Linked DNA regions of Xenopus tropicalis. The protein of the gene in region 1 interacts with the protein of each later gene in a pairwise test. Links are inferred from orthologs where the notes say so. Each region holds a gene or a part of one and is shown in the gene's direction. Other genes may lie near its edges.

Evidence for each region.
Region 2: the proteins of syce1 (region 1) and nme7 interact in binary tests that used the Homo sapiens proteins (3 or more experiments, as listed by UniProt). The two-hybrid records come from large-scale screens. The link is inferred for Xenopus tropicalis from reciprocal best matches to the Homo sapiens genes SYCE1 and NME7.
Region 3: the proteins of syce1 (region 1) and bfsp2 interact in binary tests that used the Homo sapiens proteins (3 or more experiments, as listed by UniProt). The two-hybrid records come from large-scale screens. The link is inferred for Xenopus tropicalis from reciprocal best matches to the Homo sapiens genes SYCE1 and BFSP2.
Region 4: the proteins of syce1 (region 1) and washc3 interact in binary tests that used the Homo sapiens proteins (3 or more experiments, as listed by UniProt). The two-hybrid records come from large-scale screens. The link is inferred for Xenopus tropicalis from reciprocal best matches to the Homo sapiens genes SYCE1 and WASHC3.
Region 5: the proteins of syce1 (region 1) and lmna interact in binary tests that used the Homo sapiens proteins (3 or more experiments, as listed by UniProt). The link is inferred for Xenopus tropicalis from reciprocal best matches to the Homo sapiens genes SYCE1 and LMNA.

What each region holds. Positions count from the first base shown.
Region 1 is NC_030684.2:646,665-653,031, forward strand, and holds the start of syce1 (synaptonemal complex central element protein 1), read left to right. Parts: upstream 1-2,562; 5' UTR 2,563-2,762; intron 2,763-2,918; 5' UTR 2,919-3,408; coding exon 3,409-3,508; intron 3,509-6,367. Other genes in the region: sft2d3 (SFT2 domain containing 3), read left to right, coding at 5-613. UniProt on the Homo sapiens protein: Major component of the transverse central element of synaptonemal complexes (SCS), formed between homologous chromosomes during meiotic prophase. Requires SYCP1 in order to be incorporated into the central element.
Region 2 is NC_030678.2:55,291,724-55,297,631, reverse strand, and holds part of nme7 (nucleoside diphosphate kinase 7), read left to right. Parts: intron 1-287; coding exon 288-454; intron 455-1,324; coding exon 1,325-1,435; intron 1,436-2,942; coding exon 2,943-2,993; intron 2,994-5,908. UniProt on the Homo sapiens protein: Possesses an intrinsic kinase activity. Displays 3'-5' exonuclease activity with a preference for single-stranded DNA. Does not seem to have nucleoside diphosphate kinase activity.
Region 3 is NC_030682.2:52,661,593-52,667,500, reverse strand, and holds part of bfsp2 (phakinin), read left to right. Parts: intron 1-1,437; coding exon 1,438-1,594; intron 1,595-3,519; coding exon 3,520-3,681; intron 3,682-4,922; coding exon 4,923-5,048; intron 5,049-5,908.
Region 4 is NC_030679.2:49,097,663-49,104,191, reverse strand, and holds the start of washc3 (WASH complex subunit CCDC53), read left to right. Parts: upstream 1-2,251; 5' UTR 2,252-2,318; coding exon 2,319-2,369; intron 2,370-4,539; coding exon 4,540-4,638; intron 4,639-4,993; coding exon 4,994-5,059; intron 5,060-6,529. UniProt on the Homo sapiens protein: Acts as a component of the WASH core complex that functions as a nucleation-promoting factor (NPF) at the surface of endosomes, where it recruits and activates the Arp2/3 complex to induce actin polymerization, playing a key role in the fission of tubules that serve as transport intermediates during endosome sorting.
Region 5 is NC_030684.2:142,914,583-142,919,319, reverse strand, and holds part of lmna (lamin), read left to right. Parts: intron 1-1,604; coding exon 1,605-1,724; intron 1,725-1,845; coding exon 1,846-1,959; intron 1,960-4,542; coding exon 4,543-4,737.

The sequences.
Region 1 (6,367 bases):
TAAGATGGCGGATCTGGCCCGGCAGCTCCAGGAGTATGTGGCGCAAAGCAAGTCGGGTAAAAGCGGTTCGGTTCCCTCCGGAGCAGCCAGCCCCCCGGCCGGGGAGAGAGCCGAGCCCGCATGGAAGGCATGGATAGGCCAACACGTCCCGACCCTCAGCGCTCTGGAGGCCGACCCCCTGCTGCCCGGGCTATCCGGCTCCCAGAGACTGGCCGGGGCGGGCCTGTGTGTGGCTGTGGCCGCTCTGTGCTTCGGCCTGTCCGGTATGTATGTGCCCATCCTGCTGCTCCGGGCCCGCAAGTTCGCCTTGCTCTGGTCCCTGGGCTCCGTGCTGGGCCTGGCCGCTGCCGCTCTCCTGCGGGGCCCCAGCCGCCTCCTGCGGGAACCCGAGCCCTGGAGCCTCATGTACCTGGCCGCCCTGGGGGGCACTCTGTACTCCGCCCTGGGGATCCGCAGCACCGGCCTCACTGTGCTTGGGGCAGCCGCTCAGATCCTCACCGCGGCCGGGCTGCTCCTGGGCCTGATCCCCGGCGGGGCCCTAGGGAGGCGCTATATCGGCAGCCTGTGCGGGAGCATGATGCGCAGGGGCGTGGCCAAGGCGCTGCCGGTGTGATTGGATTAGGCCCCGCCCATGAGGAAACTGACAATGAGGAACCAGTTGATAAAGCCGGGGCCCCTGGACTAATCATGGGGTGTGGAGCAGGTTTCAGTGCATTGCCCCTCCTGGGGCAGTAGGTTTGATCTACCTGTGGGATATGGGCCCTGTCCCAGCGACTTCCCAGGGGACCCAAACGGTGGCGGTGGGCTCGGTTCCGAGCTGGGTTCCAGACTCTGGTGCTGAGATCTCAAGGCCCGGCGTGGGTACAGCAAATGGACTCCGTGGGACTAGTGATTGTGGGGCTGATATTCTGCCCTGACTGGCGGAACCAAGTGCCTTCCCTGGCTGCCTGTCAGCCCCCTGCCCGCAGCGACTGGCACAGACTCAGGGCTAGCGGGTACTGCTTTATGGCACAGTAGATTGGATAGTAATAAAGGCGCAATCTCTCAGTATATAGTGGTGCCGGGTATGGTTTGTCCCCCAGGATCTAAGCACCAATAACACAGGCAGCTGTACCATGTGACCCCTCCACTGCCCCCCACCCTTGTGCTGCCAGTCACACAGGGGCACAAATACTTGTCCTTATTTACCTACATGTACTCAGAATGGCAGTTATAGCCCCCCTGGGAGGTCCAACCTTGGGTCAGGGCCCCTCATACAATGCTTCCACATGTAGAGAAGCATTGCTTTGTTGGACTCCCTGCTGAGAACATCTAGGGGTGCAAATAGGAGATTACCCCAAATCTCAGCCTAATGGCCGTTGAAGCTTGGCTGTCGGGGTGTGTACAAGAGCAGATAGGCATTTCCTTATTGTAGCTTTGCAGCAGTGCAGTAATCCATAGCTGCTACTCAGCCTTATTCAGTCTGTTATGGTAAGAATATAGAATATATAGATCAGATCTGTTCTCTGGGGGAACCTACATCCCACACACAAACGTCTTTGTGAGAACTAATAACTGTGTTACAAAGAGGTTGTGGGTAATTACTAAATTGCACAGGGAGGGGGTATCTCCCATGCACGCCAGGTTAGTGAGGCAACGCAGAGACATGTAGTGAGAAAGGCTGGGGGGCCCAGCAGGTGTGTGAGTGACACAGAGTGAGAGGCTGGGGGGCCCCTCTCCCTGGGGAAGTAGGAGTAGCCGGGGGCCCAGGATGTGTGTGAGTGACACAGAGTGAGAGGCTGGGGGGCCCCTCTCCCTGGGGAAGTAGGAGTAGCCGGCTGGCCAGGATGTGTGTGAGTGACACAGAGTGAGAAAGGCTGGGGGGCCCAGCAGTTGTGAGTGACACGAGTGAGAAAGGCTGGGGGCCCCTCTCCCTGGGGAAGTAGGAGTAGCCGGGGGCCCAGGATGTGTGTGAGTGACACAGAGTGAGAAAGGCTGGGGGGCCCAGCAGGTGTGTGAGTGACACAGAGTGAGAAAGGCTGGGGGGCCCCTCTCCCTGGGGAAGTAGGAGTAGCCGGGGGCCCAGGGATTGTGTGAGTGTCACAGAGTGAGAAAGGCTGGGGGCCCCTCTCCCTGGGGAAGTAGGAGTAGCCGGCCCAGGATGTGTGTGAGTGACACAGAGTGAGAAAGGCTGGGGGCCCCTCTCCCTGGGGAAGTAGGAGTAGCCGGGGGCCCAGGATGTGTGTGAGTGTCACAGAGTGAGAAAGGCTGGGGGGCCCCTCTCCCTGGGGAAGTAGGAGTAGCCGGGGGCCCAGGATGTGTGTGAGTGACACAGAGTGAGAAAGGCGGGGGGCCCCCCTCTCTGGAAGTAGGAGTAGCCGGGGGCCAGCAGGTGTGTGAGTGACACAGAGTGAGAAAGGCTGGGGGGCCCCTCTCCCGGGAAGTAGGAGTAGCCGGGGGCCCAGCAGGTGTGTGAGTGACACAGAGTGAGAAAAGCTGGGGGGCCCCTCTCCCTGGGGAAGTAGGAGTAGCCGGGGGCCTCCCAGCAGGTGTGTGAGTGACACAGAGTGAAAAGGCCTGGGGGGCCCTCTCCCTGGGGAAGTAGGAGTAGCCGGGGGCCCAGCAGGTGTGTGAGTGACACAGAGTGAGAAAGGCTGGGGGGGCCCCTCTCCCTGGGGAAGTAGGAGTAGCCGGGGGCCCAGGATGTGTGTGAGTGACACAGAGTGAGAAAGGCTGGGGGGCCCCTCTCCCTGGGGAAGTAGGAGTAGCCGGGGGCCCAGCAGGTGTGTGAGTGACACAGAGTGAGAAAGGCTGGGTGCCCCTCTCCCTGGGGAAGTAGGAGTAGCCGGGGGGCCAGCAGGTGTGTGAGTGACACAGAGTGAGAAAGGCTGGGGGGGCCCCTCTCCCTGGGGAAGTAGGAGTAGCCGGGGGGCCAGCAGGTGAGTGAGAAAGGCTGGGGGGGCCCCTCTCCCTGGGGAAGTAGTAGTAGCTGGGGGCCCAGCAGGTGAGTGAGTCTCAGGCTGAGAATGAACCCAGATAGAGGGCCCACCAGCCTATATATCAGATAACTCAGAGAAGCCCAATTGGTGCTGGTACCAGAGAATGAGCCCCTCGGGGCAGTAATGGTGGCCCCTCGGGGCAGTAATGGTGCCCCCCACATATGAAGGGTACGTGTGGGGTGAGAGCACTGTGCAAGTGTCAGGCCTCACAGACTCTTTCCCTGCTGGGGGGGACCTGGACTCCATTTTGTTACCTGTAGGTTTGTACTGCTGTGGGTGGGGCACACAGGGACAGCACAATTCTATTGGAGAACTTTCCTTCCCAGTCTGGGGTCAGTAGCCAATCGAAATAAGGCACGCCTCCAGGCACAAAAAGAGCGGGAAAAGCACAGTTAGTGCCTCTGGTCTGTCTGAAGCACCAACCAACAACATGGAGGCAGCTCCCCCCGCTGGGACTGAGGCAAATCCGCCCGTGTCCCCCCCTCCCTGTCACTCACTGGCTGCAGCCGCCTCCTGGGATTCAGAATCAGGTGACTTACATGGGGTACTGTACCCCCTGTCTGTAATATCCCAGGGACCCAACTGTACCCCCTGTCTGTAATATCCCAGGGACCCAACTGTACCCCCTGTCTGTAATATCCCAGGGACCCAACTGTACCCCCTGTCTGTAATATCCCAGGGACCCAACTGTACCCCCTGTCTGTAATATCCCAGGGACCCAACTGTACCCCCTGTCTTAATATCCCGGGACCCAACTGACCCCTGTCTGTAATATCCCAGGGACCCAACTGTACCCCCTGTCTGTAATATCCCAGGGACCAACTGTACCCCCTGTCTGTAATATCCCAGGGACCCAACTGTACCCCCCTGTCTGTAATATCCCAGGGACCCAACTGAACCCCAAACCCCTGTCAGCAATATCCCAGTGACCCAACTGTACCCCAAATCCCTGTCAGCAATATCCCAGGGACCCAACTGTACCCAATCCCTGTCTGTAATATCCCAGGGACCCAACTGTAACCAAACCCTGTCCAATATCCCAGGGACCCAACTGTACCCCAAATCCCTGTCAGCAATATCCAGGGACCCAACTGCCCAAACCCCTGTCAGCAATATCCCAGGGACCCATGTACCCCAAATCCCTGTCTGCAAATATCCCAGGGACCCAACTGTACCCCAAATCCCTGTCAGCAATATCAGGGACCCAACTGTACCCCAAACCCCTGTCAGCAATATCCCAGGGACCCAACTGTACCCCAAATCCCTGTCTGTAATATCCCAGGACCCAACTGTACCCAAATCCCTGTCTGCAATATCCCAGGGACCCAACTGTACCCCAAATCCCTGTCAGCAATATCCCAGGGACCCAACTGTACCCAATCCCTGTCAGCAATATCCCAGGGACCCAACTGTACCCAAACCCCTGTCAGCAATATCCCAGGCCCAACTGTACCCCAAACCCCTGTCAGCAATATCCCAGGGACCCAACTGTACCCAAATCCTGTCAGCAATATCCCAGGGACCCAACTGTACCCCAAATCCCTGTCAGCAATATCCCAGGGACCCAACTGTACCCCAAATCCCTGTCAGCAATATCCCAGGGACCCAACTGTACCCCAAATCCCTGTCTGCAATATCCCAGGGACCCAACTGTACCCCAAATCCCGTCAGCAATATCCCAGGGACCCAACTGTACCCCAAAACCCTGTCAGCAATATCCCAGGGACCCAACTGTAACCCCAAACCCCTGTCAGCAATATCCCAGGGACCAACTGTACCCCAAACCCCTGTCAGCAATATCCCAGGGACCCAACTGTACCCCAAACCCCTGTCAGCAATATCCCAGGGACCCAACTGTACCCCAAATCCTGTCAGCAATATCCAGGGACCCAACTGTACCCCAAACCCCTGTCAGCAATATCCCAGGGACCCAACTGTACCCCAAACCCCTGTCAGCAATATCCCAGGGACCCAACTGTACCCCAAACCCCTGTCAGCAATATCCCAGGGACCCAACTGTACCCCAAACCCCTGTCAGCAATATCCCAGGGACCCAACTGTACCCCAAATCCCTGTCAGCAATATCCCAGGGACCCAACTGGTACCCCAAATCTCTGTCTGTACCCCATCCCCCTGTCAGCAATATCCCAGTGACCCAACTGGTACCCCAAATCCCTGTCAGCAATATCCCAGGGACCCAACTGGTACCCCAAATCCCTGTCAGTACCTCAGGTACCCCGTCCCCCTGTCAGCAATATCCCAGTGACCCAACTGTACCCAAATCCCTGTCAGTACCTCAGGTACCCACCGTCCCCCTGTCAAGCAATATCCCAGTGACCCAACTGTACCCCAAATCCCTGTCAGTACCTCAGTACCCCCGTCCCCCTGTCAGCAATATCCCAGTGACCCAACTGTACCCCAAATCCCTGTCAGTACCTCAGGTACCCCATCCCCCTGTCAGCAATATCCCAGTGACCCAACTGTACCCCAAATCCCTGTCAGGACCTCAGGTACCCCATCCCCTGTCAGCAATATCCCAGTGACCCAACTGTACCCCAAATCCCTGTCAGTACCTCAGGTACCCCATCCCCCTGTCAGCAATATCCCAGTGACCCAACTGTACCCCAAATCCCTGTCAGTACCTCAGGTACCCCATCCCCCTGTCAGCAATATCCCAGTGACCCAACTGCGTACCCCCAAATCCCTGTCAGTACCTCAGGTACCCATCCCCCTGTCAGCAATATCCCAGGACCCAACTGGTACCCCAAATCCCTGTCAGTACCTCAGGTACCCCATCCCCCTGTCAGCAATATCCCAGTGACCCAACTGTACCCCATCCCCCTGTCAGCAATATCCCAGGGACCCAACTGGTACCCCAAATCCCTGTCAGCAATATCCCAGGGACCCAACTGGTACCCCAAATCCCTGTCAGCAATATCCCAGGGACCCAACTGTACCCCAAATCCCTGTCAGCAAAATCCCAGGGACCCAACTGTACCCCAAATCCCTGTCAGCAATATCCCAGGGACCCAACTGTACCCCACCCCTGTCAGCATATCCAGGGACCCAACTGTACCCCAAATCCCCTGTCTGCAATATCCCAGGGACCCAACTGTACCCCAAATCCCTGTCTGCAATATCCCAGGGACCCAACTGTACCCCAAATCCCTGTCTGTAATATCCCAGTGACCCAACTGGTACCCCAAATCCCTGTCAGTACCCCATCCCCCTGTCAGCAATATCCCAGTGACCCAACTGGTACCCCAAATCCCTGTCAGTACCCCATCCCCCTGTCAGCAATATCCCAGTGACCCAACTGTACCCCAAATCCCTGTCCAGGGACCCACTGTCCCCCCTGTCACAATATCCCAGGGACCCAACTGTACCCC
Region 2 (5,908 bases), on another chromosome or scaffold:
GAATTTTATTTGTTTGCAGTATGATGTACATCTTTATACCAATAACTTTTTCTTAGAATACAATAATTTTTTCCTGCTGTCTATAGTTGATAGCTTGTACATAATTACCTATATATTATATATTTATTAGTGAGTGCTTCTTGTTTTAAAAAGACACATTTAAAACATCAGATTATTATAAATTAAAGAACTTGAAACGTTTAAACTTGAAAACTGATGGATTTAATCTATGTGATCTCCTGTGTTAAATATTTTGGCTATGCCCAATTTTTATTTCTTTTTTACAGTATGACATTAAAAACCATCGAGTGTTTTTAAGACGAACAAAATATGATGAAATTTGTAAGGATGATTTATTTGTGGGCAACAAAATTAATGTTTTTTCACGGCACCTTCATTTAATTGACTACGCAGATCAATATACTTCTCGAAAGGTTGGAAGCAAGAAGGAAAAGTAAGTGGATCTTGGCTTTATAATTTGCTGTGAATCTACTATGCAGACTTTTTTTTACAATCACAGTCTCAACACAATATATAAGCTATGTTGTTAGATAATCTTTGCTTAAAGCAAATGGGCTCCTACCACATGATTGTGGTTCTAATATATAGTAACATGCTTGGATTAAGCATATGAACACTGGGACTACTTTTTGGCTTGTAGCTTGTGGTAAGACATCCTGTTGGCCAGTGCACTCACCTTTTGTGCTATATACACTGTAATGACAGGGGTGGGCGAATCTTTCCATTAAAGGCCATTAAAAGGGTATGTACTTTGTGCTTTGACCTTCTTATCCTTCTTTTATTCTGTAACCCTTGTTTGTTAAATTATTGTAAGACCCTGGTTTGTTATAAATGATTGTAAAGTGCTGCATAACAGAAAACTAAATTATATGCATGTTTTTTTTAAATACTTTTCATCAGGAAATGTGTAGCACTAAGATCTACATTGTCTTTAATTTAGTTACTCTTATATTTTATAGTCCACTCTAAACAGCCTGCAGAATTGTGCCTGCCACAAAAGAAATGCCTATGTTGGCACAAATTTATGGTATCTTTTAATATGAGCTATTAGAAAATCCAGAGAGTTGTCCCTGCTATAGAGAGTGCCTGACACCTTTTTCTTGCTTTTTGTAACTGGATATTAACCCAGACAATAAAAGAGGGAGGGAAAGCTTTTCAGGAGCCAGCCTGAGAGACAGTGGCTAAAATTGCAGCTGATTACAGTAATAAATTCTCAAAAGCTTGCAGAAATAGAAAATGCTAATACATTGTTTTACCTAAAGCAAATGCATTCTAAAATATATTTATATTTTCTTTATTGCAGAACATTAGCTTTGATAAAACCAGATGCTGTAACAAAAATGGGTTCAATTATTGAAGCCATACTGGACTCAGGGTTTGTAATCTCAAAGGCTAAAATGGTTTTGCTCTTAAGGTAAATATTATGATAAAATTGATGCAGTTGTGCTGTAATTTCTTTGCATATTTTGAAATGAATATGTTGGAACTTTATAAATTATGGGTAATAAGTTAATAATTAGTTAAAGGGGTTGTTCACGGAACAAGTCGCCGGTGGAAAGGCCAGTGCATTGCTTCGGCTTTCCAGAGTCGCGTGAAGTTGCCTGCAGGAGGAAACTTTGTGCAACTTTGGAAGCCAAAGCAATGCGTAGGCCTCTCCAGCGGAGACTCCTGTTGTCGCTGGTGGAAAGGCATTTCGGAGCAGGTAGTCGCCACAGTAGCAGAGATCTATTGCGGGCGACTAACTCTGTGGGCCATCAGCCTTGAATTAACTTTTAATAGGATCTAGAGAGTGCTATTCCAAAACAGTTTACAATTGGTCTTCATTTTTTATTTGTGGGTTTTTAATTATTTAGCCTGTTGTTCAGCATCTTTCTTGAGTCAGAAGAGGAAGGCAAATAATTTAAAAACTATAAAAAAAAACCAAAAAACAAAGGCCGATTTAAACGTTGCTAAGAACAGTTCATTCTATAGCATACTAAAAGTTAACCTGAAGAATGAAGCACCCAGAGGGGACCAGATTTGGGTAAATTATGGAAGTCTTTTTCTAAAATGTCCATGTTTTCAAATCAGAAAGGTAGGTAGGACAGTTGTATCTGCCAGCCTATGTCCACCAATGGAGAAATACCTGAATCTGAGAACACTGCCTCCCTTTGACAGCACCACTGTAGATGTGTCCCATGACAAGAGGCGGCATGGAAAGTTTTAGTTAGAAACCAGTACATATTAAATTAGCCTCAGCTGGTAGTGAATGACAGCTATTGCCCTATTGTTTGTCTCATAAAGTTAAATTAGTATTTTTTTATCCACTTTCTTAAATCAGATCAGCCACAATGTTAAATACCAGTGTTTGTTTTTCCACCTTAATCAGCATTTATACCTCTCTTTGATGTGCTTTACTTTAATGGTGTCATTAAGCTCTAGTAAATTATATTAGCTTGCGGTTATTTCTCAGTGTGGTTCATATCAATTCTGCAAATCCACCCCCATTATATTAGCTGCCTAGAACTGGAAATGGGCTGAAAGAAACTGTCATAAGTTAAAGTACACAATACAGAGGGTAAGGCTGGACAAAGTGAATAAATTGTGTGTGTGTGTTTATACATATATATAAATAAAAATACCTCACACTGTCCGCACTCCCTTTAATTGTCCAAGATTCAAAGATAACGGCGTGGATAACGTACGTACGTACGTACGTACGTACGTACGTACGTACGTACGTACTTACATACACACAGTTTCTTTTCTTTACTTTGCTGATTTCACTTAAACTAGCTTAGATGTGTTATTTGGCCATGGGTGCCAAATCTTACTCATTCATCTGTATAGTGTATCCCCTAATGTAAAATATAAGACAAAATTTGCCAGGGGTAAAGAGGAAAAGAAATGCAGCTGTAACATCTCTTTATTCTTTTTTACAGAACTGAAGCAATGGACTTTTATAATGAACATCATTCAAAATCATTTTTTAGGTATGGTTTTAAAGTTGATCTACAGAAGGTAAAGTGGGATTAAAATTCAGTTGCGGTACACTGTGGACAATTTTGTCACCATATTTGACATATAAAGTCCCATTTACGACTGTGAGTGCAGTGTGCAATTTTTAGCTGCAATTTGCCATTTTTTTACCCACAACTTCAATGTCATTGTGGCTTGTCTTAAAGGAACAGTAACACCAAAAAATGAAAGTGTATAAAAGTAACTAAAATATAATGTGCTGCTGCCCTGCACTGGTAAAAGTTGTGTGTTTACTTCAGAAAGTCTACTATAATTTTATATAAATAAGGTGCTATATAGCCATGGGGGCAGCCATTCAAAGGAGAAAAGGCACAGGCACATAGCAGATAACAGATAAAACACTATTGTATTCTACAGAGCTTATCTGTTATCTGCTATGTAACCTGTGCCTTTCTCCTTTTTTCCAGCTTGAATGGCTGCCCCCGTGGCTACACAGCAGCTTATTATATAAATTATAGTAGTGTTACTGTAGCAAACACACCAGTTTTACCAGTGCAGGGCAACAGTACATTATATTTTTATTACTTTAAAGCTCTTTTATTTTTTAGTGTTACTGTTCCTTTAACCACAGTAGTATCTGATACAACAAAATTGAAGCAAGTGCAAAATTTCATTGTGGGGATTGCATTATTCAAATGGCATTACTGTGTCTTTTGCAAGTGTCTCTACATTTGTTGCACCTATTGACGCAGCCTGCTATGGGAACCTTGGAATAACTCAGGCTGTAGCTCAAGTTCCTTTTGTAAATATGCACACCTGTGAACAACCTGCTTATGGAAAAATATATATGCTTTGACATAGTTTTAGAGATTCTCTTTTATTATTAGGGAAGATTAAGGTATCCTAACTGGATGTTCATGTCCCTGTTTTGTTTGGATTTTTTTTATTTTGTTTACACCCCCTGGTGTTAGTCCACTTGCCTTTGCTCACTTAACCATGTGTCCTAGTGCCTATTTATAAGGCAATTATCATACAACCTGAGCATTCTCAAATTTGCAGTTTATCACATGCTTTCCCCTTCAACTGTACCCTTACACTTACTCTGGCCCACAGCTAATCCAACTTTGGCACACTATTTCAACTTGCTGCCTTTAAAGGGCATGTAAAACCCACACACAAAAATGTAATCAGTGAACAGCCTCTGAAATCTTTCAATACCTGCCACTCTGGTTGTCCAGAGGTTAATAGGAAGGCTGCAACATACCCTTAATCACTTAGATTTCCTTCTCCTCCTGAAACCCACTTGGGCCCCCTCCCATCAGGAATTTGCTTTGGCTATTGGCTTGTGGGCATGCTCAGTTGTTCTAAACTCAGATTACTAAACACATCCTTCAGACTAGCAGCCAGTGAAGAGATGGCATTGCTGGTTTCCATATAAACTCAGCTCTAGCTGTCTGCTTCTCTTTTTTTCTCCTAACCTCCTCTCCTGAGCTCAGCTGAATGCTGAATAAGGGTATGTGTGTGTATGCTGTTTGCAGATATAAATGTATCTGATTATGCATCAGAGGAAAAATGGCCACCGTGTGAAAGCTGCTATTTGCTTTAGGAAAATGTGATGGTGATGGAGGGGGATATATGCAGTACAAATAATGCCATTATGGTGGGGGTGACATGCCCAACTGATATACCTTGTAGGCAAATGTAGGCTTTACATGCCTTTAAAGATGCCTCCAGATCAGCCAAAAACAGTTGAGAAGGTCATGGACAGGCCCTCACTTGCTCCAATTGAGATTCATGCCTGTACTGCTACCAAAGAAGTTCTACTCACTAAACAACCTCTGTAATCCTAATTTCCACCCACCTTCTAATCCTTTACTGGCTTCATATAACACCACACCCACCACTAGTACCACAAATACAAAACAGATAACATTGGCCTCAGCATTCCATTACACAAGAAATTCTATATACCTACAGTATATCAGCACAGATATATCACTTTTCATTCATTTTCTGCTGATATATAATGTCAACACTCCTGAATTCAACCCCTATTCCAGTATTTTAAATCCTCATACACAAGTACTAATTTCTTTTATTCTCGGAAATCCTTTGTTGTTATTGTTTCCATCTTAACCTCTAGTTACCTTTTAGCCATTACTCAATTTTGCCTACAACATTGTGTACATTGCCAGGTCCAAATGTTAGGCAATGAGAAGGCATTTTTGGGAGATTTGTTGTCCGCAGTTGCAAAGATTTACTGCAGGCGACAAAACTTCTTATCTGCCAGGGTGCTTATGGGGAAAGAAACACAAAGAAACAACACATTTGGAGAGAAGGAAAAGTCAGTCTACATAATAAGGTTTCTTCCCACAGTGACTTTGACAGTGGGAGGAAGTTGCTGTAAGAGATCCTACTCAATGGTGATGTGATGCTTTTCGTAAGCAAAGATTTTTTAATGTTTTTGGTTTTTTTTTTTAAATAAACACAAAGACAGAAGAAGCCAAAATTCAAGTTGCCTTGGGTTAAACATATGTAAATATTATGTCTTCAATGTTAAAGCCAGTGCCTCACAGGGCAGATCCCACCCCTGCATTTAAAGAAGCTTATTGATGGGCCTGCACCTGGAGCCATTGTGCCTGGGTACAGTACACAGTGCAGACACAACCATAAGCTTTATTGAGTGCAAGGGAGGATTCTCAGCCTGCGTTTATCCACAGGCCAAGAATCCGCCCCATGTGGCATTGGCCTAAAAACAGAGAAGGTGGTTTCTGGAATGTACAAAATCTCTTCTGCATGGGCAACCAAACACCCCAAACTACCTTTTTATTAAAGACTATATAAATGTCTGCCTGCTTCTTGTCAGTCTATTCTCATAATCACTGAAAAAACCCAATCTGTGATTGCCTTAACAATTACTTGGAAAAAA
Region 3 (5,908 bases), on another chromosome or scaffold:
ACGTACGATCGAATGTCGTGGTAGTGACGGAAGCGGTATTTACAGAAAGACAAATGTCTGACACTCACACCAACTGGCAGATTTTATCGTTAAACGACCAAAATTTTTAAACCTGGCTGATCGATTTTGGGGACGATAATGTCGGCTCGTTTAGTGGGCCGACGATCGTTCGTACACCACCAACTATACGATAACTTAACGATAGCATCGGATCGTTCGGGAATCGGTCGTTTGTAAGTAAAAAATCGGTCCGTGTATGGCCACCTTAAGGCTTCAAGGTCTTTATCAATAAATCTCTTGGATGCCAATAACTTACTATGATCATCACAGAACTCTCTTCTAGGAATGATGAAATATGATTATGACCACATTTCCTTGTTAATTTAAGAAAACTATCCCTAATGGAGAGAAAACGTCTTCAAAGAGGCCTTTGAGACAGTGGTGTAACAAGTCGGCACCCGGCCCCCCAGCAAAAAGAAATTTTGGAGGGGCCCGGTGCACAGTCACTCTGACTCAGCACTCCACCCACCCACTGTTAGCCCCTCTGTCCCATTGTGTCCCCCGCTACCCTTATATCAGTGTCCTCTGCTCCCCATCTGCAGGTAAGAGAGCGGCTGGGGGTGGATTTTTTTGTACAGGTATGGGGCCTGTTATCCAGAATGCTCGGGACCTGGGGTTTTCCGGATAAGGTATCGTTCCGTAATTTGGATCTCCATAACTTAAGTCTTCTAAAAATCATTTCAATATTGAATAAACCCAAAAGGCTTGTTTTACCTCCAATAAGGATTAATTATATCTTAGTTAGGATCAAGTACAAGGTACTGTTTTATAATTACAGAGAAAAAGGAAATCATTTTTAAAAATTAGAATTATTTTGTTATAATGGAGTCTATGGGAGATGGCCTTTCCGTAATTCAGAACTTTCTGGATAACGGGTTTCAAGATAAGGGATCCCATACCTGTACTATTTTTGTCCCCTGTGCCCCCCCAGTGACTGTGGGGTCTGCTTCCCTTACAGTTATGCCACTGCTCTGAGAAGCAATTTACAATTTTACCTTTATGCACCCGTTTTCCTTCAAATTACAGAGTACAAAAGAAAAAAAACGAAGCCTTATACTCAAACTACGTTTTGGCTCCTGGGGTGCCAGAATCATTAAAAAATATATAAAAATTTGTGTTTAAAAATGGCGTAACATATGCCTTTTAATTCATAAAGTGATAGTGGTAATGCAGCAACACTGACACTCCAGGGAATTTCAATAACACCTTACTGCCACAATCTCTTTTTCAAGGCAACCCAGCCCAATCGGACCTGATTCAACAATTACGTCCAATTAACAGTATTGCACTGAAAAAGTAATGTCTTTATTATTAATTTTGTACATCTGTATCCTGTTGTTGTATTACATTCCCCCATAACTGTTATTTAAATGTTAGGTATGAGAACGAGCAGCCATTTCGAAAGGCAATTCAGGAGGAGATCCGGTCTTTGTACAAAGTGATAGATGATGCAAACTTGACCAAAAAGGATCTTGAAAGTCAGATAGAAAGCATGAAGGAAGATCTGGCTTCTTTGTCAAAGAATCATAAGGAGGTAACAGAAAAGACCGTGATCTACTCATTACAGTCATTATTTAAGCACCTGTATCATTTTTATAAATGAGCCTTTCCAGCTAATTAAAACAAGAGGGTATGGCTTCTTTGGCAGGTTCCATATTCAACAATTAATTCATTTCTAATATCAATGCTTTATCTTGAGCAGAAATAATAACTGGCCCCAATTCTGTTGCCTGCCTATAGAAAATGAATTGGCCCAGACTGGTGAAAATCAACTGAAAGAGCTCTTTATTTAGTTGGAAAACCAATGTTAACAATCGAGTTGTTAATTTGATTCTGTATTTTCTTTCATGAAATGCTAAAGCACACAGCATGTAGCAGAATAATAATATTTGACTTAAAGGAAAAATAAAGTCAAAGTCACTTGGGGGTGCCAAAATGTTAGGCACCCCCAAGTGACTTTGACCGCCTACCTTTTACCCCGGGCTGGTGCCCCTGTGAGGAAGGAACAGCACCAGCCCGGGGTAGCTGCCGGCGCTTCCTTTTCCTGATTCGCTGCGCGCGCATGCGCAGTAGAGTGAAAAGCCGAACTTAAATGTTAAAGTCGGCTTTTCACTCTACTGCGCATGCGCCCACCGCTGGCACTCAGGAAAAGGAAGCCAGGAAGACGGAAGCGCTGCGCTCCAGGTGCCCCGGGCTGGTGCTGTTTTCTCCTAACAGGGGCACCAGCCCGGGGTACGAGGTAAGCGGTTAAAGTCACTTGGGGGTGCCTAACATTTTGGCACCCCCAAGTGACTTTGACTTTCGTTTCCCTTTAAGGTAAATCAGGGGTTTTTCAGGGTCTTCTGCTGTCTAAAGCAGCAGACCTAATGCTGCCCTCCCATACCACCCCCCTGCATTTACCTCAAAGATTATGGGTATAGAATAAGCTTCCTGTTTGTCATGTCGAAACACTAGCTCTTCTTTAACTGCTCAGTTGTCAGTGGGATGCTTAGGGTTGTATTCAGCTATAACAGCTAGAGTTATACAGCAGGAAGCTTTGAAGACCAAGCTAAAATGGCAGCTGCAATATTAAGCAAACAGAGAAAGCTTCTAGGGCTCTTTACTCAGGTATGGTAATGCTTTCTGCAGAATAAATATAGCATTTTAGGTGGCAGTAATGTGGTGAATCTATTGGCAGTAAAATGCCAAAATGACTTTTCTTCTCCTTTAAAGTGATGCATACATTTAGAGAAAAGTTATAGCCTATGCAAGGTCTAATAGACCCTTTCCAATATTTATTAAAATGTCCATTATTGTATTTCATCTGGAAGGCTATAAGTTTTCTATTACTGATCTAGCATGTATGTCTATAACATTGCTGCATGCAATAATAGTGCCAGATCTTGATCGGGCAGGTTTAAAAGTCTAGTTGGGTGGACTGCTCCATTGCCACCAATATAATTCGATCATTTGGCCCAAAGGCCAAACGATCGCATTAGCCTACATGTTCCCCGATATCGCCCATCCCGTAGGTGGGGATATCGGGTGAAGATCCGCTTGCTTGGCGATCTCAATCTCACGTGTATGGGGACCTTAATGCTACTCTGAGTCCTCTGTCACAAGATACACAGCATTTCTTTCCTTCTATTCAGTACACGTGTTCTTCGGTTCTTCCTTCTTTTAGCTCAAACCTCCAGGGCTCAGCATGAGCATGCTCAGCTTGCTCCTCACTCACTCCCCCTTCTCCCATCTCTGCTGTAATGTGAGCACAGAGTACAGAGATGTAGACAGGAAGTAAAATAAGACCAAGCTAAAATGGCAGCTTCTATGGCTGTTTAACCAGTTATGGTAAAGCATTCTACAGAATAAATATAGGGTTCTAGCTTGCACTATTGTGGCTAATTTGTTGGGAAGAAACTGCATCAGTAGCTTTCCTTCTTATTTAGGAGTAGTTTGGGCCATAGACTGTGTGTTTTACAGGACGTAAAGATGCTGTATAAACAGTTGGCTGGATTTCAGCTAGAAGAAATGGATGTGCCAATTGGTACTGGACTTGATGACATCCTGGAAACCATAAGGATCCACTGGGAGAAAGACATTGAGAAAAACAGAGCTGAGACAGGTGTCCTTCTGCAAACAAAAGTATGTTATTTGGCATACAGCATGTATATGCTGCATAATGTATTTACCATAGTTTTATAGAGTTCTAGCATTTCACCAGTGAATAAATAGCAGGCATGTACATAGCATAACAAAATGTTTAATATTTAGATTTCCATATTTCAGGCTAAATATAATGTAAGGAGAACTGCAGGAAGGATTTTACCGCATTTGCCTGTCTTTGAAAAATTCTACATCTAACTTGAACGTTACTTTGGCATATAGAGATGGATCCAATCATCAGAGCACACCCTTTTCCGATTGATTGCATTCACTGTGTGCTGTGCTGTAACTTCACTATTCCTTCTTTATTCTGTGTTAATAAGTAAATTGGATATAGATGTTTCTAATTTGAAAAGCAATCCGTTAATTTTAAATTAAAAAGGCCTTTTTTAACCTTGAAACTTGACAAAGACAGACAGACATCCATTATGCCTATGTGGTGCTCCTCCTTAGCCAATTTACAAGTGCACAGCCTAATGTCCTCCTCATATCTCAGTGCACACCAAAACATTCCCTTTCTCTCGCCAATTTCTATTGTTTACCTGTGCTGCTTGTCCACAATCTAAGCTTTCGCCTTAGGTCTGGCTTCCTCCTCTGTTGTCTCTCTTTAAATGAGTAACCAGCAAAACTTGTGTTTTTTAAAAGTAAATCCAGGCCTCTTGGACCATACACTGTACAAATTTTGTTGTTTTACCTAGAACCTGCAAAGGGAGAAAGTAATAAAGTAAAAGATAACATAACTGTAAATGGCCTCTAGTACAGCAAAATACTATAGCCTCTGGCCAAATCTTCAGTCATGTTGTTAGCTCCTGCAATAAACAAAGACTGTTTATCTCCTGAGACTTGCATCCACTCATACAGCCATAATTCCCCCTCAGCCAGCTGAAGCTTTCAGCCAATCTCTGCAAAGAAGTGCAAAATGGATACTATTGGTGCAGTATGGCTATTTATAAAAAAAAACAAAAAACAATTCAAGTTTTGCTGTACATCTCATCACCCCATGCCCATATGAGGTACAGCCATCTCAAATTGCTAGAATCATATACCCAGACATTCATTGGCTCAAGCAATCAAGAGTAGCTGCAGCTGTGAGTTCACATTGATTGTACTAGAAAAAAGTGATCAAAATGAGAAATTCTCAGGAATTCACGTACAGTATGTAAGTGCAAACTAGCACAGTTATTTTTACAATTATTGTGCTGTATTTTCCCCAACCATAGTCAGTCGCACTGCCAGCTGCACAAGATGAGGTGGAGGAATTGGCAGAAAATCTAAAGGAAGAGTTTCATGACACCACCTGTAAAATCCAGAGCTTGCAAGCAGAGACAGAATCACTAAGGACATTGGTAAGGAACTTATTTATTAAATATCAAACTGGGGAAGTCAGAGAAAATCTTAATAGTTAAATATTTTCCACAGTAAGGGATTCTGTCATGATTTTATGGTGTACTTTTTATTTCTAAATTACACTGTTTACATTAAAATTTTATTCCTGAACTAATAAATATATGTATATTTTTAGTTATAATATCGGTATATAGGCAGCCATCTCAGTGCTTTGTGCCTGAGTCTGAGCTTTCAGAAGGAGACAGCACTACACATTAGAACTGCTTTCAGATAACCTATTGCGTCTCCTACTCCCATGTAACTGGAGGAGTCCCAAGCCGGACTTGGATTTTTTACTATTGAGTGCTATTCTGATATCTACTAGGAGCTGCTATCTTGCTGCCTTCCCATTGTGCTGATTTGCTGCTGGGAGGGGGGTGATATCACTCCAACTTGCAGCGCAGCAGTAAAGTGTGACTGAAGTTTATCAGCACAAAGGTCACATGGTTATTGCACCCTGGGAAATGAAGAATATGGCTAGCCCCATCTGAAATTTCAAAATTAAATCTAAAAAATCTATTTGTATTTTTTAAAAACGGATTTCAGTGCAGGATTCTGCTGGGGAAGCTCTATTAACTGATTAATTTTGAAAAAAACGTGTTTTCCCATGATGGTATTTTAGCCTCACCAAGCCAGAGATTTTAGGCTGCTGGGGCCAGTGAAAACTGGAAAGAGTAAAAAGAAAAGCAAATAATTCAAAAACTATAAAAAAAATACAAAATGAAGACCAATTTAAATGTTGCTAAGAATGTATGTATGTATATCTTTATTTATAAAGCGCTACTTATGTACGCAGCGCTGTACAGTAGATAGGTAGAGA
Region 4 (6,529 bases), on another chromosome or scaffold:
AATTTTGGACAATCAGTCCTTAAAAAATAAGTCTAGCAACCCAGTAACAGTTTCAATAATACCATAATCAATATTGCTATATATAATATATATAATATTGCTTTTAGGGTGTAATGCTATAACAAGCAGAGGTTACAAAGTAGAGATTATCTTTAAGCACAGAGATCAAAATGATCGTATCTTGTGAGCAATATAAAATAAAACAAATGCTGTTTTTACAAATATTTAGTATCCACACTTTTACATTTTATAGTGTCACCTTTTGCAGCAATATTAGCTTTTAGTCTTCTGACATATAAATCAATATTACACATTATTTTGGAGCAAACTGGACCCTTTTTTAAGGCTAGCTTGAATCATTAAAGGGGAACTCCACCAAAACACAACTTGAGTTTTTTGAGAAGAAAATATCATTTCAAGCAATTCTGCAATATGTAATTTAAAAAATATGCAGCATTTTCATAATTGTGTATGTATTACTATGGTTTGGAACAGTTACTAAGCCTAGCACCCTGTTCCCCTGCTGATCTGGCTGACTACTTTGTAACAGTAGTCGACTGTCCTCAGCCTGCCTTCAACCTCCAAATCCCACAATCCCTGCACACATGATATCAATAAGGAAAGAAACATCACAGTGCAATGCATTGTGGGTTATGTAGTTCCTGGTTGCTGTCTGTAACCTGTAGAAAAGTTGTTATAGCATTCATAACATTAATGTTTAGTCCCACCCCCTGCCAGCATTTTAAATGATGCATTAAGAGAACTGTTTTGGAGTTGGATTTCAGCATATAAAAATTGTATTTATTCATACATTTTCAAGAAACCGATTACAGTGATAGGTATATTAGGGGTTTCTGTGCTGTGTGAGGTGGTGTGTGGTTTGGAAGCCAGAGTTTCCCTTTAATGTTTGGATCCTTGTGTTTCTAAAAGATCCTTGTCTTGCTAATAAAGAAACATTTGCCCATGCCTCAGTTATCTTTTTGTCGCGGGCGACTAATCTCCCCGTCTACCACGGCCATAAAGAAAAGCAGACCCCACACCAATATGTTACTACCACCATATTTTACTGTTAGTAAACTATATCAAGAGCTCCTTATAACACTTCAGTTTTCCAAAAAGCATGAAAGTAAGCCACCTGTGACATAACAAATGTGAATTTATAGAATAGGCAGATAGAACAGTCACATTATGGTACTTTGCTTTGCTAGTTAGTCATATGGACCCTAAAGGGACAACTATGGCTTTTGTTTTTGTTTTCTCTATTTTACTTTATATTAGTTATTTTTCTCTGTATACTTTTTGCCTGACCCATGGATATGGGCCAATACTATTGGTGCCAGTTTTAAAAGTAGCACAAGTGAAACAGCAGTTTTTTTCTCTGGTAATCCTTAAACAATAAAACCTCAAACTTACAATATTCGGTGCGTGTATGGTATGTCGGCGAGTCGACCGATATCGCAAGAAGCTGCTGATAACGGCCAACTCGCTGATCGGACCAGTTTGAACATTTTGATCGGGCGCCATAGAAGGCGCCTGACCAAAATCTCCCTTCAGCGCTGAATCGGCAGGAGGTAGAAATCCTATTGTTTCTACCTCCTTACCTGCCGATTCAGCCCTGAATGGTGTGTGGCGGATCTGACGATGTTTCGTGCGACCGATGGTCGCCACGTGTATGGCCAGCTTAAGGTGGCAACCCTATCTAGTGCAAAAAGTGCTACTGTGCTCTCTGTGATAGCGATGCACTAGCCCCTTCTGATGCAAAAAAAAAAAAAATGGTCTCAGGGTGGCATTATAGGTAAAACACCTCTGCCCAGGTCCCTTCTATAATATACTTTTATAAAAGTAAAAAAATTGAGCAGCCACTGAATACAAGGTTTGTAATAATAATTAAAAAAAAACCAACAACCCTGCAGCCAGCAGGAGAGGGCTGAGGCGACACATTATGCTCCCTGTACAAAAGAGTTTGCGGCACCCATAACCAGTTCATTTGTTACTGCACTTCCCTTCCTGCTCAAAAGCTGCAATCTGCTGCCTACTAATACAAACGAATTAAGAAACTCATCTGGCATTGAGTGGGTTAAGTCTAAAAAGCAAGTGCTTTGAGTGGCGTTAGTCACATGAATACGTCGGAAACAGAAGCAGTTCTGTAGTCACTGAATCATTATTAAGCCAGCAGCAACTTTAGCCATGGAGGTTTTATAAGCAAGAGAGGTTCTGTGTGCCGCTCTGGCTTCAGTCTTCTCTATGGTACGGAAGGAATCACATGACAGACCATGTCACAACACAAGGTAGTGCAGTGAGCAAGGGGAGCTGGGCTGATGGATGAAGACGGGCTGCCTATAGTGGGCTCTGGGATTGACCTCACTAAGGTGCGTCTTTTAGGGGGAAGTGAAGGGGAATGGGCAGATTTAATGTGTATTGTAATGTGTGTTCATGTGCATTTTTCTAGTCAGTCAGCTCTACACTAACCTGTAGTCATTAAGGGAAGGCAAGTTACACTTTTACTGTGTATTCATTCATTTTATTTACTGTGCAGTCATGATATTGGTACTGTAATGTTCTTAGCATATCCATATGGCTCCTGTCTTAACTGACCTGCTGTCCCATATACTTGATTATTTACTGTTACTGCACTTGTCTGTAGCTGATGTTTCATAGTGCTTTGTGGTGTTACACTTGCTGTAAAGATGTCCAGTTGTTCAAATTGTGGCTAGGCTTTTCCTTAATGGCACATACATCATGTGTTTCAAAAAAAGCCATTTCCACGAAAGCATTGGTCAGCTCCATTCAGACTCAGACACAATCGGGCTTGTTTATGGCTGCAGTTGTGATGGTGCTAATCAAGGATGCAATCATTAAGAGATTCATTAAAGGTATTTGTGCACTTGCTTATATTTGAACTAAGTAACCTTGTGCCTGTCTGTGCATCTAATGATGCAGGGGAACCCTAGTGCTACCTCTAGCTTGCAGGTGGCCGTAATTCCAGGGTTCCCATTGTGAGCTGCATCAACAGGCACAGCAAACTTACACCCAAAAAATCACATGCAGGTGTCTTTTTAACACAGAGTGGTGGAAATAATGCAGTAGCCTCTACAACTATTTTAATCACATTTGCGTACTTCAGAAGCAGTAGCCCTCTCATTAAGGGTGAAGTCACACTGAGCTACTAGTAGCAGCTACTTTTTCACAGCTACTAAACTCCAGAAAATACCTTGCCATAGACAATAACGGTGAAGGCACACAGAGCTACTTAGTAGCAGCTACTTGTCAAGGCTACTAAATGCCAGAAAATACCCAGCCTTAGACAATACCGAGAATTGCCCCTGCTAAAACATACGTAGAGACAGTAGCCACGACAAGTAGCTGCTACTAATAGCTCTGTGTGTCTTCATCTTAACACTGAAGTACATTGCCTCTTCCGTTTATAAAACATCTCCGCTGGCTTAAGGTCTTAAAAATGTGTTTTTCAAAGGGCTTTATTATGTCATACTGCTGCTTAATAATCCCAGGGATACAGCATCCCTGTTAACAGCGAAGCCCTTCTACCCACTATTATTTTTTGATTAATCCTGTAGACATAACTGTCCTTTGCTGTTGTGCAGAGGACTCTGGTTAGAAGTGTATACACACAGCTAGTATACACGGCCGTCAGCCATGGGCTGCAGAGTGAGATATCCTAATTAACTGGGCTTCTGTATCTTCAGGATTGTGGAATAATTCTATGGCATTTGTTTGAACTCACACTTTTAAGTTTAGTTACCCTATGGAGAATTGGATAAAATCTCTTTTCATTGCAAACTATTAAATCCTTCCCTCAATATCCACTCTTTTTAAAGGTGTGTCTCAATGATGTGCACTAACTAACCCCGATTGTTCAGCTGTGTAAAGGTGGCCATACATGGTAAAATTCACTTGTATGATGGCGTCGCTTAACAAGTGAATCTTTCCCCGGATATGCTCACCTTGAGCGGGTGATATTGTGCTAATGTGATTGTTTGGCCCTAGGGCCAAAAGATTACATTAAAATGAACGGGATATGAGAAGTTGGAGCAAGTACCGCATTAATGATCGGGGAGTCCTGTCCCAATACACAGGCAGATAAGCTCGGTCTAAAGGATCCGAATTAGCAGCTTAAATATGTTGTGTATGGCCATCTTTACATCTTGTCATCCTCGAGCAAGGAGCCCTGCAAAGATGCAGGCAGCTGTAACTTCAGAACTGCAAAAGTGCCTCTGCTGGTCATTATGTGCCAGGCCCCATAGAGTTATTCTGATTAGAGTTTTGGAAATATTGCCTTGGTCAAAAAGCCTTTCAGTTTGTCATTAGTAGGCTAGTTCTATTAAACATTTCACCACTCATCGGAGGAGCTTCTAATTCAAGTTGCTTTAGATTTAACACAACTAGGTATTGTTTTCCATGGCCTGGATGAATGAACCCTTTATATACCTGTTCAAACTAATATCCGTTGCTTGCACTGTGTTCTATACCTTTTGCAAATGCAGTATACTGACCTTTTTTCTTTTATTTAATAAACCCTAGGTCCCACCTATTCAGCAGAAAAGAACAGTGGCATTTTTGAACCAGTTTGTTGTGCACTCTGTTCAGTTCCTTAACCGGTTTGCTACAGTTTGTGAAGAGGTACTGTATTCCTAGCGTGTTCTAGCTTTCCCTCTTTTCTACAGCATTGACTGGAAACCAAGTGCTACTTAGTCTATTGCAGCTTGCACTGTTCAGATGAGAGAATGTTATGGTAAATGTTATCGTTTGAAATCTCAGTACATGTACATTTTGGGGCTTTCAGGTAATTTAATGGCTGCACGGGCTTGGTGGGAGCTTACATTACATTGCCCATATGAACAGGGTCTTCTCTATATGCTGCATAGGCCAGTGATCCTATTTAATTTGCATCTTTGATTATTTACCCCTCACAGAGCTACAGAATATGTCCATTATTTAGACCTTTAATGTTGGTACTTTGTTTTTATTGTTTTAGAAACTTTCTGCCTTGTCCCTACGTATTCAGCAGATTGAAACAACCCTTAATATTTTGGAAGCAAAGGTATGTACTTGTGTGGTATGTTTCAGCATAGTGTATTTCTCATATTATTTTACCGTTCAGCAAATAAAATCTGTATTAAAGGAAATGTAACACAACCTTTTTAAATTCAATATATCCTTTCTAAATACTTTTATTCGCAAATATACAATAGAAAGATTGCAATAGCATATTTTTTTTTTTTTTTAAATTACTTTGCCATAGATTTACTGAGCTCAGGCAGCGCATTTCTCCCAAGCGCATTTCTCCCAAGCGCATTTCTCCCAAGCGCATTTCTCCCAAGCGCATTTCTCCCAAGCGCATTTCTCCCAAGCGCATTTCTCCCAAGCGCAGCGCATCTCTCCCATGCAGCACTCGTAACAGACACAACGAAAGAGGAGAAAAGGTCCGTCTCCTATCCATCTCTGTGCCAGATCACTAGTAGCCTATTAATCACTTTAAAAAAGGACTCTGAAGAATGCACTAAATGAACTTCTGGATTAGACTGGAAGTCTACCCAACGCCATATTGCCTTTTAAGCTTGGAAGTGAAAATTTTGTGTTACTGTTCCTTTTAAGAGGTTTCAAGTTGAAATTTCAAGAAGAGTAAGTTACTTCTGAAATGTAAGCCTTTAAAGTGCTCGATGGCCTTGGTGCCTGTAGTGAATCTCCGAAAGCCTAACTACAGCTGGAACCTTGGTATACTGCATGCTGATAATATTTCAATATATCAAGCATGACCAGTGAGATCTCACAGAGAAATGGTCTTGACTCTTATTTGAAAGCTGAAAAGAAGCATCAACATGTTCAGAAACCATATATGTTTGTCAGGTTACATGGAGGGCTGTACTGAGTGGGTAAAACTCAGCTGTCGAAACAGGGGTCACATACACAGAAATATTAGTATGTAAGGGGATACACAATTCTTTACTTTTCATCGTTAACTAAATCTATATCTGGCTTTATAACTGCAGTTATAAAGAACCTACTTATTTTTTGGGCATTTTGCCTGATGTGTTTCTACTTGTCAAAATGCCCAAACCTACCTAAGAAGAGGATCCATTAATACCATGTTTGCTAGCTCTTGCCAGGTCTCTTCTATGAAAGTAACACTTTTTCTCTAAAGCTCTAACATCAAGAAATGTGTTTGAAGTTGTTACTTAAAGGCATGTACCTAAAAGTTTTTCCTTGGGGTCATGGGGCAATTAGTTGCTGAAATTTCTAAAAATCCAGTCACGCAACCATCACCCACTGCAAAAGTGGCAGTGACTAGTCCCGCACAGTACATTTCCCATGCAGCAACTTGTTAACTTGTGTATGGAGATTACTTGGCGTGACTGTTTTCCATCACCACGACTGGGGTTTTATAAAAATTGCGGTGACTAATTGCCCATCTGTTTTCGACCCTAAGCAGTAGCCATCTTGTGTGCTCCAGTGCAGTGTTGCATTTGTCTCTGAATTTTCTGAACCCATGGGAATGGAAACCATTGAAAAA
Region 5 (4,737 bases), about 140 Mb from region 1:
CCGCACTGTGTTCTGTTCCTTATAAATAAATAATCAGGGAGCCCCGAGCTGCTCCTTATGGTCTGTCTGCCTTATGTGGTACTAGAGCGCCCTCTGCTGGGAGACAGATGCATTCATTTCCTTACACAGGGAACTCTGAGTATCACTCATGTATTATAAGGGATAATGTACCCCCTACTGTAAATGATAAGGATATTAGCAGTCACTGAGGGGTTCTGTGCCCCCCATATAAAGGCACAAGGCTGCAGGCTGAGTTATACAGGGAACTCTGAGTATCACTCATGTATTATAAGGGATAATGTACCCCCTACTGTAAATGATAAGGATATTAGCAGTCACTGAGGGGTTCTGTGCCCCCCATATAAAGGCACAAGGCTGCAGGCTGAGTTATACAGGGAACTCTGAGTATCACTCATGTATTATAAGGGATAATGTACCCCCTACTGTAAATGATAAGGATATTAGCAGTCACTGAGGGGTTCTGTGCCCCCCATATAAAGGCACAAGGCTGCAGGCTGAGTTATACAGGGAACTCTGAGTATCACTCATGTATTATAAGGGATAATGTACCCCCTACTGTAAATGATAAGGATATTAGCAGTCACTGAGGGGTTCTGTGCCCCCCATATAAAGGCACAAGGCTGCAGGCTGAGTTATACAGGGAACTCTGAGTATCACTCATGTATTATAAGGGATAATGTACCCCCTACTGTAAATGATAAGGATATTAGCAGTCACTGAGGGGTTCTGTGCCCCCCATATAAAGGCACAAGGCTGCAGGCTGAGTTATACAGGGAACTCTGAGTATCACTCATGTATTATAAGGGATAATGTACCCCCTACTGTAAATGATAAGGATATTAGCAGTCACTGAGGGGTTCTGTGCCCCCATATAAAGGCACAAGGCTGCAGGCTGAGTTATACAGGGAACTCTGAGTATCACTCATGTATTATAAGGGATAATGTACCCCCTACTGTAAATGATAAGGATATTAGCAGTCACTGAGGGGTTCTGTGCCCCCCATATAAAGGCACAAGGCTGCAGGCTGAGTTATACAGGGAACTCTGAGTATCACTCATGTATTATAAGGGATAATGTACCCCCTACTGTAAATGATAAGGATATTAGCAGTCACTGAGGGGTTCTGTGCCCCCCATATAAAGGCAAAGGGCTGCAGGCTGAGTTATACAGGGAACTCTGAGTATCACTCATGTATTATAAGGGATAATGTACCCCCTACTGTAAATGATAAGGATATTAGCAGTCACTGAGGGGTTCTGTGCCCCCCATATAAAGGCAAAGGGCTGCAGGCTGAGTTATACAGGGAACTCTGAGTATCACTCATGTATTATAAGGGATAATGTACCCCCTACTGTAAATGATAAGGATATTAGCAGTCACTGAGGGGTTCTGTGCCCATATAAAGGCACAAGGCTGCAGGCTGAGTTATACAGGGAACTCTGAGTATCACTCATGTATTATAAGGGATAATGTACCCCCTACTGTAAATGATAAGGATATTAGCAGTCACTGAGGGGTTCTGTGCCCATATAAAGGCACAAGACTGACAGTAAGGAGATAACAAGTTACATTTCTCTTTCAGATCTGGGCATCAGGCGCCGGAGCCACAAATAACCCCCCCACTGATTTAGTATGGAAGGCCCAGAGCTCCTGGGGAACAGGCGACAGTATTCGCACCGCGCTGCTCACGTCTAACAATGAGGTGGGTGTCAAACTCCCAAACTGGCTCCGCCCACTGGAGAAGTCGGGGGGGGGTTCAGTTGCACATCAGTCACATACGGAAGGATTTGCCCAGAACCAAAACTGACTCTGTGTCTCTATAGGAGGTCGCTATGAGGAAACTGGTGCGCACTGTCGTCATCAATGATGAAGATGGAGATGATGAAGATGATGACGATGTGGGACATCACCACCACCACCATCATCATCATCATCATGTAAGTACTGAGCCTCTGGGAAGGGACTGGGCTGTGGGATAGCAGGTATAGTAGGGAGAGATGGTGCCTATAGTAGCAGTGGGGGGATAATAGCCTCTGGGAAGGGACTGGGGCTGTGGGATAGCAGGTATAGTAGGGAGAGATGGTGCCTATAGTAGCAGTGGGGGGATAATAGCCTCTGGGAAGGGACTGGGGCTGTGGGATAGCAGGTATAGTAGGGAGAGATGGTGCCTATAGTAGCAGTGGGATAATAGCCTCTGGGAAGGGACTGGGGCTGTGGGATAGCAGGTATAGTAGGGAGAGATGGTGCCTATAGTAACAGTGGGATAATAGCCTCTGGGAAGGGACTGGGGCTGTGGGATAGCAGGTATAGTAGGGAGAGATGGTGCCTATAGTAGCAGTGGGGGGATAATAGCCTCTGGGAAGGGACTGGGGCTGTGGGATAGCAGGTATAGTAGGGAGAGATGGTGCCTATAGTAGCAGTGGGATAATAGCCTCTGGGAAGGGACTGGGGCTGTGGGATAGCAGGTATAGTAGGGAGAGATGGTGCCTATAGTAGCAGTGGGGGGATAATAGCCTCTGGGAAGGGACTGGGGCTGAGGGATAGCAGGTATAGTAGGGAGAGATGGTGCCTATAGTAGCAGTGGGGGGATAATAGCCTCTGGGAAGGGACTGGGGCTGTGGGATAGCAGGTATAGTAGGGAGAGATGGTGCCTATAGTAGCAGTGGGGGATAATAGCCTCGGGGAAGGGACTGGGGCTGTGGGATAGCAGGTATAGTAGGGAGAGATGGTGCCTATAGTAGCAGTGGGGGGGTAATAGCCTCTGGGAAGGGATTGGGGCTGTGGGATAGCAGGTATAGTAGGGAGAGATGGTGCCTATAGTAGCAGTGGGGGATAATAGCCTCTGGGAAGGGACTGGGGCTGTGGGATAGCAGGTATAGTAGGGAGAGATGGTGCCTATAGTAGCAGTGGGGGGATAATAGCCTCTGGGAAGGGACTGGGGCTGTGGGATAGCAGGTATAGTAGGGAGAGATGGTGCCTATAGTAGCAGTGGGGGGATAATAGCCTATGGGAAGGGACTGGGGCTGTGGGATAGCAGGTATAGTAGGGAGAGATGGTGCCTATAGTAGCAGTGGGATAATAGCCTCTGGAAGGGACTGGGGCTGTGGGATAGCAGGTATAGTAGGGAGAGATGGTGCCTATAGTAACAGTGGGGGGATAATAGCCTATGGGAAGGGACTGGGGCTGTGGGATAGCAGGTATAGTAGGGAGAGATGGTGCCTATAGTAGCAGTGGGGGGATAATAGCCTCTGGGAAGGGACTGGGGCTGTGGGATAGCAGGTATAGTAGGGAGAGATGGTGCCTATAGTAGCAGTGGGATAATAGCCTATGGGAAGGGACTGGGGCTGTGGGATAGCAGGTATAGTAGGGAGAGATGGTGCCTATAGTAGCAGTGGGATAATAGCCTCTGGGAAGGGACTGGGGCTGTGGGATAGCAGGTATAGTAGGGAGAGATGGTGCCTATAGTAGCAGTGGGGGGGATAATAGCCTCTGGGAAGGGACTGGGGCTGTGGGATAGCAGGTATAGTAGGGAGAGATGGTGCCTATAGTAGCAGTGGGGGGTATAATAGCCTCTGGGAAGGGACTGGGCTGTGGGATAGCAGGTATAGTAGGGAGAGATGGTGCCTATAGTAGCAGTGGGGGGATAATAGCCTCTGGGAAGGGACTGGGGCTGTGGGATAGCAGGTATAGTAGGGAGAGATGGTGCCTATAGTAGCAGTGGGATAATAGCCCTCTGGGAAGGGACTGGGGCTGTGGGATAGCAGGTATAGTAGGGAGAGATGGTGCCTATAGTAGCAGTGGGATAATAGCCTCTGGGAAGGGACTGGGGCTGTGGGATAGCAGGTATAGTAGGGAGAGATGGTGCCTATAGTAGCAGTGGGATAATAGCCTCTGGGAAGGGACTGGGGCTGTGGGATAGCAGGTATAGTAGGGAGAGATGGTGCCTATAGTAGCAGTGGGGGGATAATAGCCTCTGGGAAGGGACTGGGGCTGTGGGATAGCAGGTATAGTAGGGAGAGATGGTGCCTATAGTAGCAGTGGGGGATAATAGCCTCTGGGAAGGGACTGGGGCTGTGGGATAGCAGGTATAGTAGGGAGAGATGGTGCCTATAGTAGCAGTGGGGGGGATAATAGCCTCTGGGAAGGGACTGGGGCTGTGGGATAGCAGGTATAGTAGGGAGAGATGGTGTCTATAGTAGCAGTGGGGGGATAATAGCCTCTGGGAAGGGACTGGGGCTGTGGGATAGCAGGTATAGTAGGGAGAGATGGTGCCTATAGTAGCAGTGGGATAATAGCCTCTGGGAAGGGACTGGGGCTGTGGGATAGCAGGTATAGTAGGGAGAGATGGTGCCTATAGTAGCAGTGGGGGGATAATAGCCTCTGGGAAGGGACTGGGGCTGTGGGATAGCAGGTCTAGTAGGGAGAGATGGTGCCTATAGTAGCAGTGGGAATAGTAGACCAGTAGGAAACTTTGCTCCATGTATTATGACCCCCTGTAACTCCCCCCTGTACCCCCATAGGATGGGCAGAATAGTGGGGACCCCGGGGAGTACAACCTGCGCTCTCGCACCATCGTTTGCACCAGCTGTGGGCGCCCGGCTGAGAAGGGGGTTCTAGGCTCCCAGGGTTCTGGTTTGGCCACGGCCTCGACCGGTTCCTCATCCTCCAGCGTCACCCTGACCCGGACCTACCGCAGCACCGGGGGAACCAGCGGG